Rattus norvegicus: one gene and its partners. The protein of the gene in region 1 purifies or fractionates together with the protein of each later gene. This does not show direct contact. Links are inferred from orthologs where the notes say so. Each region holds a gene or a part of one and is shown in the gene's direction. Other genes may lie near its edges. The genes, in order: Sart3, Lsm8, Ppih, Lsm2 and Tut1.

The links.
Region 2: the proteins of Sart3 (region 1) and Lsm8 purify together in Homo sapiens (affinity purification with mass spectrometry; 4 studies listed by BioGRID and IntAct, counting the BioPlex papers as one, with this or other methods). This does not show direct contact. The link is inferred for Rattus norvegicus from reciprocal best matches to the Homo sapiens genes SART3 and LSM8.
Region 3: the proteins of Sart3 (region 1) and Ppih purify together in Homo sapiens (affinity purification with mass spectrometry; 3 studies listed by BioGRID and IntAct, with this or other methods). This does not show direct contact. The link is inferred for Rattus norvegicus from reciprocal best matches to the Homo sapiens genes SART3 and PPIH.
Region 4: the proteins of Sart3 (region 1) and Lsm2 purify together in Homo sapiens (affinity purification with mass spectrometry; 3 studies listed by BioGRID and IntAct, counting the BioPlex papers as one, with this or other methods). This does not show direct contact. The link is inferred for Rattus norvegicus from reciprocal best matches to the Homo sapiens genes SART3 and LSM2.
Region 5: the proteins of Sart3 (region 1) and Tut1 purify together in Homo sapiens (co-immunoprecipitation; 4 studies listed by BioGRID and IntAct, counting the BioPlex papers as one, with this or other methods). This does not show direct contact. The link is inferred for Rattus norvegicus from reciprocal best matches to the Homo sapiens genes SART3 and TUT1.

What each region holds. Positions count from the first base shown.
Region 1 is NC_086030.1:48,518,341-48,522,679, forward strand, and holds the start of Sart3 (squamous cell carcinoma antigen recognized by T-cells 3), read left to right. Parts: upstream 1-1,512; 5' UTR 1,513-1,526; coding exon 1,527-1,835; intron 1,836-3,321; exon of another isoform or gene 3,322-3,577; intron 3,578-4,339. Other genes in the region: iron-sulfur cluster assembly enzyme ISCU, read right to left, coding at 202-315. UniProt on the Homo sapiens protein: U6 snRNP-binding protein that functions as a recycling factor of the splicing machinery. Promotes the initial reassembly of U4 and U6 snRNPs following their ejection from the spliceosome during its maturation.
Region 2 is NC_086022.1:48,270,876-48,275,145, forward strand, and holds the start of Lsm8 (LSM8 homolog, U6 small nuclear RNA associated), read left to right. Parts: upstream 1-1,252; 5' UTR 1,253-1,395; coding exon 1,396-1,426; intron 1,427-2,342; coding exon 2,343-2,383; intron 2,384-4,270. UniProt on the Homo sapiens protein: Plays a role in pre-mRNA splicing as component of the U4/U6-U5 tri-snRNP complex that is involved in spliceosome assembly, and as component of the precatalytic spliceosome (spliceosome B complex).
Region 3 is NC_086023.1:138,206,472-138,210,930, reverse strand, and holds the start of Ppih (peptidyl-prolyl cis-trans isomerase H), read left to right. Parts: upstream 1-1,350; 5' UTR 1,351-1,374; coding exon 1,375-1,440; intron 1,441-1,618; coding exon 1,619-1,683; intron 1,684-2,002; coding exon 2,003-2,026; intron 2,027-2,285; coding exon 2,286-2,330; intron 2,331-3,358; coding exon 3,359-3,401; intron 3,402-3,772; coding exon 3,773-3,865; intron 3,866-4,459. UniProt on the Homo sapiens protein: PPIase that catalyzes the cis-trans isomerization of proline imidic peptide bonds in oligopeptides and may therefore assist protein folding. Participates in pre-mRNA splicing.
Region 4 is NC_086038.1:3,848,790-3,853,431, reverse strand, and holds the start of Lsm2 (U6 snRNA-associated Sm-like protein LSm2), read left to right. Parts: upstream 1-1,766; coding exon 1,767-1,769; intron 1,770-1,938; coding exon of another isoform or gene 1,939-2,049; intron 2,050-2,299; coding exon 2,300-2,367; intron 2,368-4,570; coding exon 4,571-4,601; intron 4,602-4,642. UniProt on the Homo sapiens protein: Plays a role in pre-mRNA splicing as component of the U4/U6-U5 tri-snRNP complex that is involved in spliceosome assembly, and as component of the precatalytic spliceosome (spliceosome B complex).
Region 5 is NC_086019.1:215,276,230-215,280,774, forward strand, and holds the start of Tut1 (speckle targeted PIP5K1A-regulated poly(A) polymerase), read left to right. Parts: upstream 1-1,656; 5' UTR 1,657-1,668; coding exon 1,669-1,750; intron 1,751-1,756; exon of another isoform or gene 1,757-2,232; intron 2,233-2,252; exon of another isoform or gene 2,253-2,855; intron 2,856-2,905; coding exon 2,906-3,096; intron 3,097-4,545. UniProt on the Homo sapiens protein: Poly(A) polymerase that creates the 3'-poly(A) tail of specific pre-mRNAs. Localizes to nuclear speckles together with PIP5K1A and mediates polyadenylation of a select set of mRNAs, such as HMOX1.

The sequences.
Region 1 (4,339 bases):
ACGTGTGCTCATGCATGTATGTGTGCTGCCCCTTGACCCCCGGCACGACATACCAGGACCCTCCCTTCTGGGCTGTCAGAGTTGGGACACTTGGAGTAGCGGCCGCGGCGGGGCTGAGGTGGCCGCGGGGTCCTCGGTGGTTATCTGTGCAACAGCTGCAGGTCCCCTCGATGGTTCGCGTACCCCCTCGCCCGCCCATACCTTCTTGTGGTAGAGCCTGGCAGGAGCCGACAACTCCCGGGCGGGCAGGCGCGGGCTCCGGAGCAGCAGCGCGGACGCCGCCCGCCTCAGACGGCCCGCTCCAGCCGCCGCCATCTTGCCGGCTTGCACCTGCGTCGACCTCTGCGACGCCGAAGGGAGGGCGCGCTTGTATGACGTCACCGCTGCTTGGCGCTTGCGCTCTCCGCTCCAAGCGCGTGCACGCGTTTCGGCCGGTCTCTTTGGTCACGCCTCCGGAAGGGGCGTGGACGCGGCGCAGAGCGGGAAGGTCTGAAGCTGCGGTCACGTTTGTCTGGTGCTGCGATGGGCGTGGGGCCGCCCAGAAGTGGGAAGCCGGGCCTGACTTGCCCGAGGATGCTCAGACTCAGGCTTATTTGGGATTCGAGCTTGCATGAGTCTCTGTTCAGGTTCAGGCTTTTTTTTTTCTAATTCAAAGGCAGCCGTTTCATCTACGGAGCAAATAACATGTCAAGTGTACACTAGGTGTCACTAAAAAAAAAAAATTCCTGGGAGTCCCGAGGAAAGCAATTCCTGTCTCGTTAACCTTGCTGATGAAGGAGAAAGGCAGTGCAGAGGAAAACAGCAGTGTTCTTTTTTTTTTTTTCTACCTCAACAACGAGGAGTATAAAAGAAACAAACACCATACCTCCTCGACATGTACATGTTTGTTTTACAATCCACTGCATCCCGAGACGATACTTACTGTAATGTGTTAGCATTGGCTATATAGTCACAAAATCGATGCGTCTAACACCTGTTAGATACTAGGTGCTAGAAAGGGGAGGGAGCTTTATACTGAGAGATAGGCTTTTCTCGTGAATGGTGCATTGTATCGCGGAGGAACTGGAATTTTGTCCGCACCTGAGGGCCGGTTGCTGCGAAACAACAACGCACTGGAGCGGGCTGAGCCTTGCAGAAATCCTTTAGTCCAAAAAAAAAAAAAAAAAAAAAAAAAAAAAAAAATGACTTTGACCTTCCTAAGATGGCGTCTGGACCTTAACTATGGCCATCACGCACACACAACTGCCGGTATGGCTGCCACTTCCGGTCCCAAGACCCAAAAGCTGTCCAAGGTCGTAGCCCGACGCAGGTTATGCTAGTGAGCCTTTCTTCCTGACAGTGGCGTCCAGAGACGCCTAAGGATAATATCAGTGGTGGAGTCTTCACGGCTTCCTCCGCCCTGAGGCCCTTCGTGCCACTTCCGCTGGCGCCGAGCGGAGTTTTGGTCAGGCAGACGCCACGGACAGCCTAATGTTCGCCGGGCTTCGGCGGGCGAGGGAGGACCCGAGAATCGCGGGCTGCGCAAGATGGCGACGGCGACTGCATCCTCGGCGTCCGAGCCGGAGGTTGAGCCCCAGGCCCGGCCTGAGGCTGAGGGAGAGGAGGATGAGGCGAAGCCGGCGGGTGTGGGCAGGAAGGTGCTGTCCAGCGCGGAGACAGCCAAAGCCAAGGGCCCTGAGCGGGAGGTGCACCAGGAAGGTGTGAGCGAGAGCGATGGGGATGAGGAGGACGCCGCCATGGCTTCCTCCGCCGAGAGCTCCGCCGGGGAGGACGAGTGGGAGTACGACGAGGAGGAGGAGAAGAACCAGTTGGAGATCGAGCGGCTGGAGGAGCAGGTGGGCCGGGGTGGGCGGCGGGTTCTCTTCCCTCGGGTCCCCAGGCCCGGCCCGCCCCCTCGGTCCTCCGTGGTTATGGAGACCGCTGAGGTCTCCAGGGCGCTGTCAGCCACCGTGGGTCCCCGGTTCCCGAGCTCAGTGGGTGCCCAGAACTTCCGTAAAGTATTCCATTGGATCCTCTTCATGGTTGGGGAAGTAGTGTTAATCCGGTTTCACTGGGAAACTGAGGCTCCTGCCCAAGGTGACACTCAGCTGAAAGTGTTTATCTTTTCAGGCTGAACCCAATCAGGGCTCTTATCCTTTTTGTATTTTTAAACTTGTGTTTGTATGCATGCCCGGACGCGGTTGTCTCATAACCATGTGGGTTCCGGGGATTGAACTCTGGTCATCAGGTGTGGCGGCAAACGACTTTACCTGCTGATCCATCTCTCCAGCCCGGGACTGCCACTCTTAACCAGATAAGGTTTAGCCGTCTGACAGTCGGAGGAGAACTTATTTTCCTTTAGGGATAGTAATAATGGTCAAATGTGGTGTAGAACGGAAAATAGACCGCGACTGTAGTAGAAGCGCAGAGGTTGAGGCTTTTGATCTGAAGCCCGTTTTTTTTTTTTTTTTTTTGTTTTGTTTTGTTTGTTTTTTTGTTTTTTGTTTTGGTGGGGGCGGGGTTTGAGGCAGGATTTCAGTATGTAGCTTTGGCTGACTTGGAAGTCGTTATGTAGACCGGGTTGGCCTGGAGCTCACAGAGGTCTGCCTCCCTCTGTCGTCCCTGCTAGGCAGGAGCCACTAACTCCCTCTTATCTTATGTGTATGAGTGTTTTGCCTGCATGAGTGTGTGAGCTGAGACCAGAAGAAAGCATCAGGTCTCCAGGACCTGTAATTACCAGACTGTTGTCAGCCGCTCTGGGGTTGCTGGGACTCAAACCTGGGTTTTCTGGAAGAGCAACCAGTGGTCCTCATCGCTGAGCCAGAATCCTTCTGGGATTGTGTAATAGCTCTTCTACTCATGTGTCCTCAAGTTTTTTTTTTGTTGTTGTTGTTGTTGTTGTTTTTTGTTTTTTGTTTTCTTAACAGCTTCTGATGTAAATTAGGAGCAACAGCTCCTGTAAAATGGGATTATCATAATTATGATAACCCATGACACCTGCCTAGTGAAGTTGCCGTAGTTGCCCGGTCCCTAGCAGTAAAATGGTCCCTGATCTGTCATTGGCGATAGCTCCTTTACAATCCAGTGTGCTAGCAGGGGTAGGTGATAAAGTCAAGTTAGAGTAATTTGAGCAAAGATGCATGAATAGTCACTGTTTATAAATGTGGGCAGGGGAACCAGGGATGCAAGTTTTGTTCCCGTAGCCAGTCACAGCAGGACTCGGTGTCTATCTTAGGTCTGAAGGGGTGAAGGGAGCCTTATGTTACTTGGAAAGCCTTAAATTCATGGAGGTAGCACCTGAGACCTGATACTGTCTCCCCCCACCCCCCATGCTTCTGCTAGTGCCTCCTGTTGGGCAAACCCAGCTGTAAACCATTGTGCCAGAAGACCAAAATCTAGTGCACCCCAGTTGTTCATGGGACAAGGAGAAGATATGGAGGAGTGGGACCAAAAAGATGAAGCCTGTTCTCGTGAGGAAACGAGGCTCAGCAAATGGTAGGATCTGACTCGGCTGAATTCACACAAGTGGGCCTTGATCTCTTATGGTCATCTGTGGTCCAGATACCCCCCTGGAGGTGCGGTCCCTCAGTGATTTGTGGTGAGTAACACAGGCCAATCGGCTAACCTCTAACCAATAATTGCATTGGCCTGCATTTATAGCACTGATTCTTTTCCAGTTACAGAATGTTGCTCTAGCTTGCCCCACTTGTCCCTTTGTCTAATTATTAGAGGCCTTTTGGAGCAGGTGGTTATCATTCCTACTTTTTAGTACTAAGTGTTCTGAATCCTTTTGTTTTGAGAGGCGCTATTGTCTTTTAGAATGCAGGCTTCTGTTTGGTGCTCACACAGGTGCGCCTGTGCCATGTCAGAGGACAGTTTATAGGAGTCAGTCCTCTCCGTCCTCATCGCGGTCCCCAGGATCCAAGTTACAGTGTAGGGCTTGTTTGCAGTTGCTGAGCCATCTCTTCAGCTCCAAGAGGACTTTGTAGCTCAGGCTAACCTGGCGCTCACTCTCTAGCCTAGGCTGGCTCAATCTTCTGCCTTAGCCTCAGCCTCTCACATGCAGAGTTAGGAGCCTTTAGCTACCATGCCCAGGGGTTCACTGCATTGACTCAGCAGAAACTGGGGGATAGACTGGCTCTCCCTGCCCTTAAAGAGGAAATGTGTTCAGGCTGTGCAGTGGTGCACACTTCTCGCATTGGCAGTATACGTCATGTGCACTTTCACATTGGCCCATCCGTAAGTGTGGCCCATTTGGGTGCATAATGCATGTTAAGTGAAGGCTTCTGCACTATTGGCCAGCCGTACCCTCTCTGCTGTGCCTTTCTTGTGTGTGTGGCATCCTTTGTGCTCTGTCTTG
Region 2 (4,270 bases), on another chromosome or scaffold:
TAGAATAAGCTTCGGGGTGACAAAACTTTTTTTTTTATGATGCAGTCTATTTTCTTGAATTATAATAGGTATAATTTGTATGGCAAGCTTTAAAGGAATTCTTTTAGCTCCCCAACAGTTTGATGATGTAATTACTGTCACTGTCTCTAACTAAAAGCAAAGCACAGCTAGTTCAATCACTCCAAAGCCATAATTCTTCAGCTAAGAAAGATTTTAAAACCCACAACAAAAAGAAATATTGCTTTTTTCCATAATTAGTTGTGCAGATTCCTAACAACCAGTTTTGAAGTGAAAGCACCATTAAATAAATAAATAAAACATTATTGGAGCAGACAGGGTAGGGGGAGGTTGGAGGTATAACTTATTGGTACAGGACTTTGGAAGACTTGCATAGTGTGAGTTGCACACACACACACACACACACACACACACACACACACACACACACACACACGAGGCATGAGGGAGAATGTCAGTCCTATTTTTACCAAGACATGTGAAAAATAATAGTTCTGTAGTAGGAACTAAGTAAACTCAAGTCCAGAGTTGAAGTGACATAAAATAGTGACAGCAATGAGGGACAGAATCAGAATCAAACCCGGTGCTTAGTTTACACTTTTCTCCAATTAGTCCCTTCACAGTGGGGCTGTAGCCTTTATTTATTGAACTTCACCCTGAGGAAAGCTAAGTCCCGAGACTTCGATGAAATCCATTTCTTAAGGCAGGCTCCTGCACCTTCAGCTATTTGGCTTTCGTTTTTTAAAAAAGCTCGTTTAAGGACACGAAGAGCCAAATTCAGAATACACAAATATTTTCATACAGTTGTTTTCTCCGAAAATGTACATCGTGGAGCTACAAAATGCTCCCTTTGTACTGGGCTATTTGGCTTTTTAAACTTTTTTGGCTCATGCTGGAGAAATCTAGAGCTCCTTGCACCCTGCATCTACATTGCCTATGAGAACAAAGAATCTCTCTCCTACTCTAGCCAATGGAAACATCTTCATCTCGTGTGTCTTCCGGCAGAAAGAGTCTTTCCGCACTACCTTTAGTAACTACCACAGTGCCTTCCCGTCCGGTAGAACCCTCCAGTGTCTCCTTCCAGTCCGCCTTCGGTGACAACTCTACACTTCCGCCTGTCCCCGCCTTTGTCTCCCCTTCCGATCGCCACCCGGAAGCCCAGCGGAAACACGCTGCGCATGCCCACTAGTCAGCACCGCCCCGTTTCCTGTTTGTCCGACTCCTTTCTCTTACTGATTCGTCACCGCTGAGGCCTCAGAGTCTCGCGATATTTGCGTTCGCCAGCGGGCGCGAATCTGTACGTGTTTCTAGCGGGCGGTGTTTTGTCTCCTTGTTGCTGATTCCTCTCAGATTCCCGGAACCTCCGGGCCCAGCAGCATGACGTCTGCCTTGGAGAACTACATCAACCGTATCCTCGGGCGGGCCGCTGCGACGGCTCAGGCCGCGGCGGGGGCGGGAGGGAACACGGGGGCCCGGAGTGGTGGGCAGTGAGCAGTGGGTGGAGGACCGGGGGTCGGGATTCGTGGAGGGAGCTCCCGGATGGACCCGTGGCTTTTTCCACCCACAGCACAGATCTCGGTGTAGTTAGAGTTTTCCTGCACGTAGCCTGTTGATTGTATATGTTCCAACATTGGGACTAAGGTGAACTGTTGTCCTAAGGACTCCCAGTTCGTAGATCCTAACAGTCTTGTTTGTTCGGGGATAGCATGAACAGGAAGATGCTCCTCAGATGTGCATTTCGGGTCCCATGCCTCCGCTTGAAATGTCTATGCGGTAGAATAAAAATAAATCGTATTGTGATGGTGTTTGGAGAGTGACGAATGGCTTTTAAAAAGCCCAGAGATTTTAAGATAGAATTGCTGTTCTGAAGTCAGGGCAAAAACATTGCACCTAGCATATGCTCAAAGAGGAAACCCTAGTTAAATACAGAGAGGTTTTAATGATGCAAGGATTATTGGTACTTGATGGCATTAATTGGATGAGAAGGGCCTTACCATGCATAAAGAGATCCAACATTGATTAGCTCCCATCTAAATTTTATTCTAAAGGTTAAGAAGTGAGTCTAACCTGCTCAGTGTCATAGGTTGGAAACATTGCTGTTTAAACCAGAGGCAAACAGTCACATTCTATACCCTCTATCGTTTAATTAACTGTTTTCAAGGTACAGTTGAAACAAGTTTAAAAACTTACGTTTTATTCCTCCGAGCAGTGACTCTGTTGAATCTTAATTCTTTCTCTTTTTTAAGTAGTTGGAACCATTCCCTTTCTAGGCTAAAAGTTTTCAGTTTGTATTTAGGAAATACTTTCCTTGACTCAGTTCTCAGGAACTGTTGCAGTAATAACTTCTGATGGCAGAATGATCGTGGTGAGTGACATTTTCGTTTTCCTCTTTCCTGAGGCTTATTGCTTGTACATTTGAGGTAACATTTCTGGCCCAATGTTCAGACACCACAGCGTACCAATATTCCGGTGTTCTTATGATTCAGCTATTTAACTTCATCTCTTGGCTGCCTGTCCAACTTCTCTGGCCAACCCTGAAGACCTGAGCTGAAAGGTAGAGCTGTGTGATAAACTGATTTGTTTTCTTCTTGCATCCTTCTATTCCGTTTCGTTTGTTTTAACTTAGAGACCTTAAACAGTTTACATGTGTGTGCCCTAATTGGTTCTTTATCGATGAGGAAATGTGCTTTCAGTGATTTCATCATTTTTCCGAATATAGTAAGTGGTTTTGGAAACTTAAATTTATGACTTCACTGGTGGCACAATCTTCGGTACCATTGGCCGACCTACCATTTCTGATTGAAATATTTCTTGCATGACTGTAAATTAATCCCATGTTATTCCATTCTGGTTTTTTTTTCTTAAAGATTTAATTTTGTTTTTGCTCATGTGTGTGTGTGTGTTTATGAGCGTCTGCCATATGTGTGAGGATACACTACACAAGGAGACCACAAGACCTAGAGTGAGCCACAGTGTGTGGGTGCTAGGAAGAACTTGGACTTTTAACCACCGAGCCATCTCTCCAGCTCCTTAATTTTCTTCTTCATCCTTTTGACTCTTCTCTTCCATGAGCAATACCAGTCAAAATGACATAGACTAAATGCATATCATGTGTTAAGGATTTTGTATATCAATTAGTTTGCATTACAGCCTTGTGAAGAATTGCCACTTTTGTTATTAGGAATCTAGCTTAGACAAAATAAGTCACTTTCCCAGAGAGTCAGTATGACAAGTGACAGAACTGTATAGTGTCATAAATTGTGTTTAATTCCAAAACCAAGGTTACTTCCTTTGCTTGTTCTTAATAAAGGAAACAAATATGTAGGATTTTTTGTTTGTAGTTTGTTATGAGGGGGTGGTGGTGGTCAGATCATAGTCTATATATTTGTAAACTATGGGCACTTAGGAAGTCTATTAATGTTAAAAGCTAATTTGAAAATAGTTGATTTTTAAAGCCTTTAGTTTTAATTTCTTGTTTCTGTTACAAAATGTTTATAGAAGAAAAGCTGAACAAAAGCATTGACATTGATTAGTTCCTATCTTTATCACAAAGTTGTCTGATAAAATAGTTTTGTGTAAAATGAAGGTGAGAGGATTTGGGGGGGGGTTTATGATAACCACCATTTACTAACTGCTATAGTAAATAGTCTAACGTGTTTTTCTTTCCAGTTTCTAGACTCCAGGTTTCTATTTATTTTATTCTGATTCTATATAATTATAGCTTTTGTAACATGAGAATTTAATGGTAGACCCAAGAGATTAACCAGCTAAATTGAAAATAAGCTATTTCTTCAGAAACTTGAAGAGCATCTATGATACTTTCTTTTTCTAAATCCATACAGTTTTTCCTGCTTGTTTTCTTCAACTTAAGTTTCTGATTATTTCAGTTCTAATATATCTACTATAGTATTGATAGAATTCAGTTAGACATATACACAGGACACAGTGTTGGCAGTAAGGAGATGAAATATTAACTATAAGTGTTAACTAGTTTGTCATAACATTGTTTACAACAAAGTAGAGGACTTACTTTGTAATCAGCCTCTGAGCTATGTACTATCCAGGAAATAGATCCTGAACCATCATTTTTATGGAGCATTGGGTGCTATATTTGAAATGGGCAAACCAAAGAACTGTCTCCAAAGATGAAGGAAAGGAGAGGTGATGCATGCAGTGTGTTTCTTTAGCACTGGACCTTTCCCTAAGAAGTAGTATACAGTGATCTTTTGTGTAGATGCTTTGTGGTTCCCTT
Region 3 (4,459 bases), on another chromosome or scaffold:
ACTGACCCTGATATAACATGAAATGCTATCTCAAAAGTTCCCAAACACCGAGAGCTATTCTCCCAGAGGACCCAGTGTCAATTCCCTACATCCATCTGTCTCAACTGTCTGTCATTCAAGTTCTGTCAATCTAGGGGATCTGACACCCTCTTATAGCCTCCAGGGGCACCAGACGGACAAACATAACACCACTACACATAAAAAAAATTTTTTAAGTCCCCAAATAAACACATACTTGAATAAGGACAATAAGAGATTAACTGGAAAGTGAAATTACTAGCACAAAGGTTTTAAAACCTGAAACTTTCTATATCAAATGAGCTAAAAGCTTGTGACAGAAATGAGTCTAGAAACCTATCCCATGGGCAAATACCAATCCCTGACACTATTAATGATACTACTCTATTATGCTTGCAGGCAGGAGCTTAGCATGGCTGTTCTCTGAGAGACACTCTACCCAGCAGCTGACTCAGAAGGATGCAGAGAACCATGGCCAAACATTGGATGGAGCTTGGGGACTCTTAAGGAAGAGTTGGGGGAAGTGTTGAGGGCCTCTGAGGGGATAGGAACTCCACAGGAAAACTAACGGTCAACTAACATTGATCTTTTGGGGCTCTCAGAGACGGAACCACCAGCCAAAGAACATACACAGGATGGACCTAGACACACACGCACACGCACACAGTGCAGATGTGCAGCTCAGTCTTCATGTGAGTCCAGAATAACTGGAGTAGAGGCTATCCCAAAAGATGCCTGGCTGTTTCTTCTAGCTGGGCTGCCTTGTCTGGACTCAGTGGGAGAGAGTGGGCCTAACCTACAGAGACTTGATGGGGGTGGGGGATAACCAGAGGAGATCTCTACCCTCTCAGAAGAAAAGGTAAAGAGGGAATGGGGGAGAAATTGTAGGAGGGGGTAACCAGGAGAGGGGGCAGCGATCTCGGGGTGTAAAGTGAATCGATTAAAAAATAAAAACATTTTACAATCATAAAAAAGAATGAAATTACATTTCCAGCATCGCGACTTCGTCAACCCTACATAACATACCATTTTAAAATATGGAATGTGACCCAGAGGGTCCTCCTCTCATGGGCTGTAACAGAGGACACCAAGTGTGACTGCTCGGGAAAAGCTGTCTGCAAAAGATTCATTTGTATTACGCTAATACAGTCAAGAGAGTGGAGAAGCCCATAGACTTTGATAAAGACGCCTGCGCTCCTTCCCGCAGCTCGGACCAACTCAGCTAAAATTCCCTCAGTACCTGCCACACTTCCGGGGCGGGGCGCAACCGCGGACTGTTTCCACTGCGTCTGCGTTTCCGATGAAGTTCGCGGGACCTGTCACCGGAAGTTAGGCTTCTACTTCCGAGTCAAAGCCATGGCGGTGGCAAATTCAAGTCCCGTCAATCCAGTGGTCTTCTTTGATGTCAGTATTGGCGGCCAGGTGAGATGCGGGCGGCCCAGCGGGCCTGTGCGGGCTGACTGGACTCGGGTAAAGGAGGCAGCCGAGGGGGCCCTTCTAGCCCTCCCGAGATAGGCTGGGTCAGGCGGTGGAGGTGGGAGCTTCCGAGCTGCATGGACAGCGGTCGTGGGCTGAGTATTGCATCTCCCGTTTCTTGCAGGAAGTTGGTCGCATGAAGATCGAGCTCTTTGCAGACGTGGTGCCTAAGACGGCAGAGAACTTTAGGTAAAGATATGTATGCTCCAAGTGAACCAGAGCTGAGCCCTCGGTTCAGTCTTTGCCTTGTCTGCCTCTGTTCATTTATTCATTGCCTTAGAGTAGTGCTCTGGGTATTGCACTGGCCAAATAGCTACCGACTTTGACCGATCCCATATCAACTTAAATCACTAGTCTACGTGCCCTGACATCTGCCCGATCAGTTAGTTAGTGGGCATGCTGGCCCCAGTGTTTGAACTCTCCTCTCCAGAGATTAGAGGTGCTCCAAGCAGTGATGGTACGGCGGCTGAATCGTTCACTGTTTCTTTCTTGATTTCTTTCTTTTTAGGCAGTTCTGCACTGGAGAATTCAGGTCAGTCTCAGATGTGTTTGACTTCTCCACCAACTCCTGAAGGGTGACCTGGACGTTTGGTGAGGGTATTGGAGAACCATGAACAGGTCTCTAGTAATGAAAGATGATATGCAGAGAGAAGATGACTCCTTGGATGTGTTCTTTATCTCTTCTCCCATCCAGATCTTAGTGAGAGTCCTCTTAGCCTCTCGTGCATCCTAAATGGGGAAGACCCACGTTTATTTTTCATCATTCCTAGTGTCTTCCTTTGTGTTTACAGAAAAGACGGCGTTCCGATAGGATACAAAGGAAGCACCTTCCACAGGTAAGGAAGGCTTTTGGCAAACTGGAAATGCAGTCATCTCTTGGTATCTGTACAGGCAGTCCTGTACACCTGAATCCAAAACCTGTGGAGGATTAAGTCTGTTGTTTAAATGGCATGTTCAGGGCTGAGGCTGTAGCTTGGTAGAGAATTTGCCCAGCATTCATAAGACCCTGGATTCGGTACTCAGCACCATGTAGTCTGTGCACAGTGCCTTAAGTCATGCCTGACTTTATGTCATATTGATTGTAGAAACAGTGCCAGGGAAAGCACTCTGTACCTACTCAGTACCTGTTCAGTACAGGAGCATGTCCACATGTTCCTAGAGATCTAAACTCAGATCCTTAGGCTGCACAGCAAGCACTTTACCCGCTGAACCCTCCCTGGTTCTGGGTTATGACTTAGCAGAGACTTTGCGGTAACCACTGTTACCAGGCAGTCGTCTGTAGGAACCTGACCTTCACGATCTCCTGGCTTTCTATGTTTACTTATGAGTTTGACAGAAGTTGCTCCATTTTAATCCTGAAAATGTCCATTGTCTCCCATATCAAGGGTTTTAGAGCTGCAGTCTGTAATCCTCCCCTGGCATTCTTGTGAGGTGTTATGATGTGTTTTCTGAATTCTGCAAGGTAGGGAAAAGAGGCTAAGCAAAGCTAAGGACCTGGGTACACTAGCTGACATCATCCTCGAGTTTCAGTGTGTGCAGCAGTCCATTCACGTTGTGTTCTCTTTCCCCAAAGTGAGGTGGTTTTTTGATGATGTTGTTTTGTTTTCCTTTGGTGACTGTAGGTGTGTCTCTGCCAGGTTTTCAGTTCCTTTCTGTTGTTGAGGTGCTGACTCATACACCTGAGGGCAACTTAAAAGGGGCCCCTGAGTTAAAACTGTTAATCCCTCAGCTGGCTCACCCCAGGGACAAAGACTTTCTCTAAGCCTCAGTGATAAACACTGAACTCCAGAAGACATGCTAATCTACCACTTCAGTGGCTGAACCACTGAATCTTCCCTCAGGATTTTTTTTAACTCTCTTTCAGGGTCATAAAGGATTTCATGATTCAGGGTGGAGATTTTGTTAATGTAAGTACTGCTTTTTTTCTTTGTTAATTTTTTTCCAGCAAGGCCCAGTCTTGAGATTTAAGAATAATAGCTAAGGGACGGAGAGATGGTCTAGCAGTTAAGAGTACTGACTGCTCTTCCACAGGTCCGGAGTTCAAATCTCAGCAACCACATGGTGGCTCACAACCCTCTGTAATGGGATCTGACGCCCTCTGTCAGTCACTATCTTGTTGCCTCATGACAAGGTTGCACTAGATGAAAAGCTGCTTGGTTCAGCTAGGACAGCTGGCTGGCTGGCTCCCCTTACCTGTGGACCATTCTCCCCGGCCTTATCATCTGGTTTCCAGGGTGCCCAACACTCCAGGCCACTGATGTGTCTCTTCTCTACTCAGGGCGATGGTACTGGAGTCGCCAGTATTTACCGGGGTCCATTTGCAGATGAAAATTTTAAACTTAGACACTCGGCTCCAGGCCTGCTTTCCATGGTAAGTGAGGTTCAGTTAAGATTTGGGGTTAGATTAGATTACTGACTGGTTTCTGGTGCCTTGACACCCAGTTCTGTCCCTTGGAATTAGGCCTCACCTGCACCTAGCCCCTCCTCCTTCCTCAGTGTGGTTTGATCTTGTTGGGTGGGCTTTCACAGCTGTAGAAAGCAGACTAAGCTCTGACTTGTGTTGTGCCTTTATATGTACCAAGACTGGGCTTTTGCCTCAGTGTTCAATGGGCTTCCACGGTTGGTGCTCACCTGTTGTTGCCCTGGTTGCCGTGAGTCACTCGCCGGCATAGCTGCATCCTGACTACACACCTGCTTTCCCCTCTCCGTGCTCATCATTTCTATCCCCACACCTAGATATCTCTCCCCAATTCCTGATCCCTGCTCGGACCCCTCCTACCTCCATCCAGCCCACCTCTGCTCATTGCTTGCCCATGTCACCTTGCTCACTCTCCCTCCTCCCTTCCCTTATTCACTCCTCCTGCCCCTACTTCCCACCCCTGCTATCCGTGCCCCACTCCTCACCTCCTTGGTCCCAGTATTTACATGGATATGCTCTGTGCACACATCTTCTCAGGCGTTTATG
Region 4 (4,642 bases), on another chromosome or scaffold:
AATGAGGAAAGGAGAGCTCACAGAGAACATGCATTTTCTTTTTTTAAAGATTTATTTATTATATATGAGTACACTGTAGCTGTCTTCACACACACCAGAAGAGTGCATCGGATCACATTACAGATGGTTGTGAGCCACCGTGTGGTTGCCGGGAATTGAACTCAAGACCTCTGGAAGAGCAGTCAGCTCTCTTAAACGCTGAGCCACCTCTCCAGCCCATGGACGTGCATTTTCTGTTTGTGAGTCCATTGTGAGTGTTTAACTTGATAAGGGCAAAGTACTTGAATTTGTGTAAGTTGAGCATATCCAACAATTTTTTTTTTGGTTTTGAGGCAGGTCTGCCTCAAATGTCTTTCGTTCATGCTGCCTACATGACTGGAATTACAGAACGTTACACCTGCCAGGAAAAATATTTTCTAATTCTCAGGCACCCTGAGCCCATAGGAAGCAGCTGCTAAATGTACTGACTGCTTCTAACCAGTGACAGCCTCTTTTAGATTCAGGTGTTAAAGTTTCTGTTGAAACTCGGTAACATCTTGCTTGGTAATCATGATGGATCCAGCTCTGAACACAGTGATGTGCACAGGTGGAGTGGGGTAGGTAGGACAGAGAGGGAAGACACATCTTAGGGTCTTGCTGGCAAGTCAGTCTAGCTGAATGAACCTGTCCATTCCAGGATCAGTGGCAGATCCTGTCTCAGAAAATGAGATGGCTAAGTCGTTAAGGACATATGTTGCTCTTCGGCAGGACCAGGGTTTGATTCCCAGCACCCGTATGGTGGCTAACAACTATAACTCCAGAGGATCCAACACACTCTTTTAGTGTCTGGGAACACTGCACATGTGGTACACAGATATACGTGCAAGGAAAAACTCACACATATAAAATTTTAAAATATTAAGTAAGTGGAAAGAACAGCCAGCATTCATCTCTGGCCTACACAGGCAGGCATGCTCCAAGCTTCACCCAGACCCCCAGGAAACCGACTTTTTTGGTATCATGCAATCAGCAGGCCTAGTCTCTCAGAATTCTCACCTGTGTACCATGACTGCCTTGCACCAACAGCCAGCCTCGAGAAGACAAAATAGCAAGTGTTTTCCTATTTATCCAGACATGATATCTACAGAAGCTATAACCTAGCAACTTCCCATTTAATTACTAGTAAAAATAATACGGCTGGAGAGATGGCTCAGCGGTTAAGAGCACTGACTGCTCTTCCAGAGGTCCTGTGTTCAAATCCCAGAAACCACACGGTGGCTCACAACCATCTGTAATGGGATCTGATGCCCTCTCCTGGTGTGTCAGAAGACAGCTACAATGTACTTATATATAATAACTCAATCTTTTTTAAAAGAATATGCAAGTCATAATTTTCTCAATCTTCCCAATAATTCTCAGTAGAAAGCGTAGAGTATGAGCAAGTCACCCGGCACAGAGAAGAATCTAAAAAATTATCAGGGAGGCGAACTACATCCAACGCGCAGCTGCTATGGCCCACGCACGCGCTCGGGAGGGAGGAGTTCCTTGGGAGGAAGTGGGAGACAGGAAGTCCCGCCCTCCTCCCGGTTTGGCGGTCCTCTCTGCTCTGCCCTACTCCGCTCCCTTTGAGCCCAGATTCAGCCGCGGTTTTCGCGGTTCCCCTTGCGCCTGCGTGATCCTGTCCTGCCTCACGCGCGGGCTCGTGCTCCGGCTCCCGCCCTGCCTCCGGCCCGCAGTCCCCGGCGCCTTCCTTCGCGGTCCAGGCCGCCCCTCGTGGCGCCAGCACCATGGTGGGTACCGTGACGTCAAAAGGGAGCGCCGCCGCCCGCGGCGGGCGGTTCGAACTGTTCGGGTCTTGGTTGCGCTCTAGTGTTTGTTGCCTTGGGCTGTAGCTAAGCCCTAGGGTTTTCCTTACAACCTCAGGGCCCACACCCTGTGTGAGGAGACTGCTTGGAACCAATGGTTTTTTTGGGGAAACTTCCAGCAAGTCCAAGAGAAAGCCCACGGGCGCCGGGGGAGAACGGAAAGCTAGTCTTGCATTTCCGTGCTGGAGATCAGGATTTTGTGAGGGTGCGGTTGGGAAGCGGTCTCGAGCAGGGAGGTGGTCGATTCGGAGAGTGGGTTCTGGCATCGAGGGGTGCAGCGCAGTTATTGTCTCTCTGTGGCCCCAGGAATTGCAGTCTCTGTTAACGGATTGTTGATGGTGGTGAAATTTTGAGAACTACTAGGTGGGGCCAAAAGGACTGGTATTTCAAATGCCGTCACGGGTTCCTCCTCCCTGTCCCTTTTCATGTGATAGTTCCTCCCTCTTTTCCAATAGCTCTTCTACTCCTTTTTCAAGTCCCTTGTGGGCAAGGATGTAGTCGTGGAACTCAAGAATGATCTGAGGTAGGTCTTTATTTCAGCGAGTTGGTGGAAGGTGGGAGGTGCCTGGTGTCCTGATCGTTTTCGTGGTTGTTGTTCACAAAGCTATTTTAGAGCAGAGGGGCAAAACACAGAAGAAATATCTTGTGTCTTGAGTGTAAAGATTAGTTTAAGAGTGAGCCTGGTGCTGTGGCACATGCGTGTAATCCCAACGCTGATGCAGAATTGTGAATTCAAGGACAGTTTGGTCTACATATGTCCAGGGCCAGCCAGAGTTACACAGTGAGATACAGTTAAGTAACATGTATGTGCAGTCCTGGATGTCCCGGAACACACAGATCCGCCTGCCTCTGTCTCCTGAGTGCTAGGATTTGCCCTGCTGTATCATTTGCTCTTAACCATTCAGGAGTGGATTAAATGCTGTATCACTGGAAAGATGTTTATGGCTTCTTGTCACATCATCCATTAGAGTCTACTTTCTTTTTTTGTTTGTTTGTTTGTTTATTATACATAAGTACATTGTAGCTGACTTCAGAAACACCAAAAGAGGGCATCAGATCTCATTATAGTTGGTTGTGAGCCACCATGTGGTTGCTGGGATTGAACTCTGGACCTCTGGAAGAGCAGTCAGTGCTCTTAACCATTGAGCCATCTCTCCAGCCCCTAGAGTCTACTTACTTTCTTTCTTTCTTTCTTTCTTTCTTTCTTTCTTTCTTTCTTTCTTTTTTCTTTTCTTTTGTTCGGGGCTGGGTACTGAACCCAGGGCCTTGCGCTTGCTAGGCAAGCGCTCTACCACTGAGCTAAATCCCTAATTCTAGAGTCTACTTTCTTAATAGTGCTTAGAAAATTATAGGTGTCACTGATGTCTATTTTTTTTTTCATGTACTGGATGGGCATGCTCAACAGGTGAACTTCATTTCCAGCCCTCGTGTTTCTTTTTAAAATCCTTTTATTTGTAGACTCTTGAAACCTTTGAGCACAGGTCAGTGCTTGAGAGCCTTGATTCTAAGACAGAACGTGGTGTTGACAAGCAGGATGGTTATGGCCAGTGTGGGCAAGTGAGAGGCTGGCCCAGGCCGGGGTGGAGAGTAGCTAAGACTTTTTCTAGTCTAAAAGTCAGACCACACAAGTGTTCTTCCACAGAGCAGTGGGGGTTCGTAGAATGTAGAGAGTGAAGAAGTAAAATGCAGGATCTGGGGTTGTTAATTAAAATTTTAATTCCTCTGCACCTCCGTGCAGTGGGTAAATATAAGATGGGTAACATGGTGTGGGAGCAGTGGCTTTGATAACTGTACTCAGGACTAGAGGGTGGGGGAGTGTAGCATTAATAATAGTTAATTTCAGCTGCCATGTATATGTAGGTCTCTGGCTCCAAAGCATAAATGTTTACAAGTAACAGCTATTGGAGCTGCAGAGATGGCTTGGTGCTTTAAAAAGAGCTTGCTGCTCTTCCAGAGAAATAGAGTTCAGTTCCCGGCAGCTACATTAGGTGATTGACAACAGTTTGTTGGGCTGAATACAACTCCTTAGAACTCTGGCTTCAATGGATCTGATGCCCTCTTCTGGTCTCTGTGGGTAACTACATGCACATACACACAAATAGTAAAAATCAGTATTTAAAAATAATGGATGTTTCTGGGAGTCGTGCAGATCAGGGCTGACATTCCAGTTCATTTGTGTAAGTTTTGGTACCTTACATGACCTCTCATAAGTCCTGGATGATACTACTTTGAAAGGTGATTAGCTGAGTGGTTGATGGCTGTTCATCCCTTAAACCTTTAAACCTAGCCCTCAGGAGGCAGGGGCAAGGGCAGGGGCAGGGGGGAGTTTGAAGCCTGCCTTATCTACAGAGCTAGTTCTAGAACCCCACAGGGAAACCCAGTGGGCAATGGCCATGAGTAGTGCTCCTAGCTGTAGTTCTAGAACTTCAGAAGTGGAGGTAGGAATGCCAGAAGTTGGAGGCCAGCCTGGGCCAAGTGAGAACCTGTCTTAAAGTGGAAATACTAATATTAAATGGAGCATAGGCCCGGCCTGACTACGAGCTTCTGATGTGTTGGTGTGAGGACAGACTGAGTCTGAGGTGCTTTATCATTTCCACCTCAGAACTTACAGGGGCTGCCTGCTGGCTTCAGGGCCTAGAGTTCCTCCCCCCTTGTCACTGTAGTTCTGATTTTCCCTCTGCTGATTCCAGCATAAATGAATGCTTCTCTCCTCTTTGCTCCCACAGCATCTGTGGAACCCTGCACTCTGTGGACCAGGTGAGATACAGTAAAGGGGAAGGAAAGGAGACAGTGAGGGT
Region 5 (4,545 bases), on another chromosome or scaffold:
ATCTTTGAGGGGAAATAGAGGACAAAGGACATTGAAAGAGGTACAGATGGTGCTTGTTCTAGGAACAGCTTTACGAGATAAGCAGTGGGACTGGAGGTAGTCTGTGCCAGCTAGCCTTCTTGTGGGACTAAAGCTTCTCCCATTGGGGCTGGAGTGCAAGCAGTATCTTGATCTGGATTCATTCAAAGCTCTCTAATGGCTCTGAGTCTCCACAGAAAGGTGTGAGAATGTCTTCCTGTTACCCACTTCTCCCTTTTGATGCTGGGGAGTTGATCCCAGGGTCTGGTGTGTGCTAGGCAAGGGCTCTACTATTGAGCCACCTACTCCCTCAGCCTTGCCTTTTCTTTCATTTTGGCATTCTAGGAAATGCTAGCAACCAGGGTAAGATGTACCCCACTAGGTGCTGGTGGTGTCGGCACACACCTTTAATTTCAGCAATGGGGAGGCAGACAAAGGCAGATCCCTGAGTTCTGAGGCTCGTCCAGTCTACAAAGGGAGAGACTCTTGAAAGCAAACAAAACAGATGCATTCTACCTTAGTGGTTTAGGTGTGGTACTGCAAGACTGCAATTCAAGCTCAGTGGTGTATGTATGTATATAGACTGCTGCCTCAGGGTTAGCACGACCAACCTTAGTAACTGCCCCTGCCATTAAGTGTACAGTAGTCTCTACGTTTTTTGGTTTGGTCTGCTCTTTTGGTTTGACACAAGGATCAGATGCTTGAGCAGGGTCCAATAAGGAGGGACACAAGGCCTCATTGGTGATTCAACCAAGGTCGCAGACTGGTTTTCTGCCTAAGGTCTACTGTGCGACTGATAATCGCAGCACAAGGTGCTGAGCTCACCTGACAGCCCTTCCATTTCATTACGATCCCTGTGTGTTCAGCTTTCGTACTTTCTTCTGCTTTTGAACCTACAAGACTCATTCCGATTGGAGATCTGCTACACTTCCCGCTCCACCTCCTTGAATGTGTTTCTCTCTTGTCACTGTATTCTGTTCTTCATTGTACTGCCTTGAAATGGGCCTCGTTAATATACTTCATTCAAACTACATCTGTGCAAGAAACTGGCAGACTGAGGTCGTAGCCATCTGTGGTTGTCCTCATTGAATCCAGCTGATGGGGGTGGGAGGGACAGGGACAGACAGCGCGGAGAACATTTGTCTTGCAGAAGGATCCGGCTTCAGAGAAAGCAACTGACCTGAGGATGTGAGAGTCCCTGAGCTCCACAAGGCAAAGGGTTGGAAACACCCACCCTCTGCTTCTATTAGCAGGGTAAAATAAGAGATTGAGGGGGCAGTTGTGTGAAAAGAAGGTACAGATCGCCCGCCAACACTTGGCAAAGGAGGACCTCTGCTGTCAAGAAGCAAGCGCGCCTTTGTGGTTGCTTAATGAATATTCACGATTCTTCGGGCCAATCAACGCTGGAGTGAAACGAAGCACTAATTGTAGGCCAATAAGCAAAGTCGAGGGGCGGCTTTTCCTGGAAGAGTTTTAGAGCAGGAACTCTCAACCCTAAGAACGAGGTTTCTGGAGGAATAGGGTAGCGTAGGACATAACGTCACTTCCTACTGCATTGACGGAAGTTACTTCCCAGCACGTTACAATTTTTACTTGTGTGTTCCGGTGCTTGCGGAATAGGTTGTAGGCGGTCCCTACCGGAGAGTGGCTATGGCGGCGGTGGATTCGGATGTTGTATCGCTGCCGCGTGGCCGCTTTCGCTGCTGCCTCTGCGATGTTACTACAGCCAACCGTAAGCGGTGGCTAGTGAGGGGGGCGGGTGCTAGTGAAAGTTAGGGTTATTTAGGTTTGTTTGTTATTGTTTTTTTGCTGGCGTTAGGGTCAAACACCTATTTTCACTCAGCATATCCCAGGGTACCGGAGAGTGGGGGAAATATGACCTGTCGTTCCCACTATGGAGAATCTCCAAAATGAAAGTTTCATTATTCCCTTTAAAATCATCTACTGGTCATCCCTTTTCTGTTTCTGGTACTTTGCTGGTCTCCGGAGTAGGAAGGGGATTTAGGAACTCATTGCCTGGCCTGAGGTAGTTTCAGTACACCAGGTTATGTTTACAGAACTGAGGTATCACAGAAAGCAGTAATTAAATCGGAGACTCCCTAGTGGAAGATTTCTCCAGAAGTGAGATGAGTGAAACAGCATGGCCTGAATGAGTGCCGGAGATGCCAGTGAGGAACGAGGTTTGGAAGGTGGACTAGATCATTCTGTGACATTGTAAGCAGCTCAGTGACACATCAGATCCTACTTTTTATGTCTGTAATTGTGATCTCCCCTAAACAGGACCTTCTGGTGTTTTCTTTGTGAATCACTCTCCTCATCACCCCAAACAACTCTGCTCATTAGAGCAAGCCAGCAACTTAGGAGCCTTCTTTGTTCACATTACATACTTCCATGGCATCAAGGAGCTGACTGATAAAATAATACTAATAGCTAATTTTCTACACTTAGCAGAAGGCTGTATGTGAATGATGCCTATGTGTTAGGTATTACCATTTCTAACATATATCTGAGAAAAACCATACATTTGGAATACCTACTTTTTATTCCTGAGAATTATTCAGGACCCTAATTTATTTAGTTCTTCTATATTTGGCCTTGGACAAGGTACTTGTTATTTCTACAATGTACAGATGTCGCTCAACTTAATGCTTATCGATAGCTTAAGAACTACCTGCACTCTAGCCCTTTCTCACTGAGACCACTTTCAGAACGCAGTGTAGAAAAAGGGAAAGAATATCAAGTGTGGAAGGCGTTACAACTCTGTTCCAGTATCACCCTTTGTCAGTCTTTGAAGGAACAGAAGATTTCCATATGTAGGGAGCAGAGCAAGAGAACAGGTACAGGAAGAGATACTTTATATGTTTATATCTGACAATTGTCTCTGCAGGACCCAGCCTAGATGCCCACTTGAAAGGCCGGAAGCACCGGGATCTGGTACAACTACGAGCTACCAGAAAGGCCCAGGGACTTCGAAGTGTGTTTGTCAGTGGCTTTCCCAGGGATGTAGGCTCTGCTCAGCTCTCTGAATACTTCCAGACATTTGGCCCTGTGGCCAATATTGTTATGGACAAGGACAAGGTAGAGTGAATGGCTCTGGGATTAATGTGTCAGACAGGTTTGCTTCATATGCAGAGAGAAACCAGCAGTCCGTTTTGGCTTGTCCTTGGTAGACATTTCAGAACATTGAGTAGCTTCAGTTTTGTGAGCTTCTGACATCTCCACTCTTTGGATGTTCATTCACGAGTATTAATTATGGGGAGCTTGTTTACCAAACATGTATGTATGTATGTATGTATGTATGTATGTATGTATGTATCAGGGCACTTACCATGCAACTATGGGTTTTGCCATGTAACTGGCTGGCTGGGAACTTGCTATCTAGACCAGGCTGGCCTTGAATTCAGAGATTCACCTGCTCTGCCTCCTTGGTCCTGGAATTAAAGGCATTTGCCCTCTCAGTGGTATCAGTTTCTTCATCTGAATGTCTTTATGCTGACACTACAGTCCTTATTTGCAGAGTGCCTCTTTATAGAAACAGATGACATAAATGAACTTGTATTTTACCCACAATCAGCCATATTTGCCTTGCTCCTGCTCATATATATAATATATACACACACCTATACACACACACACACACACACACACACACACACATATATATTATATAATATTATATAATCCTAGGTAGTAAGTTTCTTGAAGACAGGGCTTATTATTAGAGTATGTGTGTTTTATATTAGCAATAGCAGGTAGGTTTTTCTTTCTTTTTTTTTTTTTTTTTTCTTTTCTTTTCTTTTCTATTTTTTGGAGCTGGGGACCGAACCCAGGGCCTTACGCTTGCTAGGCAAATGCTCTACCACTGAGCTAAGTCCCCAACCCTTTCTTTTTTTTTTTAATTATGTTTTGGTGCTAAGGCTTAAAAAAATTCCAAGGTTTTATGCACACAACTCTATCAGTGAGCTGCATTTTGAGCCTAACATGTATTCTTTTAAAATATGTGTGCACATGCATGGTCAATGGTGTAAATATGGGGGTCCGAGAACAACGTTTGGGATTCTGTTGTCATATTAGTGTTCAGGGGATTGAAATCAGGGTCAGGTTTGGAGGAAAGCACTTTACCCTGACATGAATTATTATTTTAATATTTGTGTGGGGGTGTCAGTATGTGGCCATGTGTATGTGTATGCCAGAAGAGGACGTTGGACTGTATGGAGCGGGAGTTACAGGTGGTTGCAAACTACTGTTTGATATGAGTGTTGGGAACTGAATTCCAGTCCCTCGAAAGAGCACCAACTATTTTTTTGTTTGTTTGTTTTGTTTTTAAAGATTTATTTATTATATATAAGTACACTGTAGCTGTCTTCAGACACACCAGAAGAGGGCATCAGATCCCATTACAGATGATTGAGAGCCACCATGTAGATGCTGGGATTTGAATTCAGGACCTCGGGAAGAGCAGTCAGTGCTCTTAACCACTGAGCCATCGCTCCAGCCCCACACCAAGTGTTCTTAATCAGTGAGTGA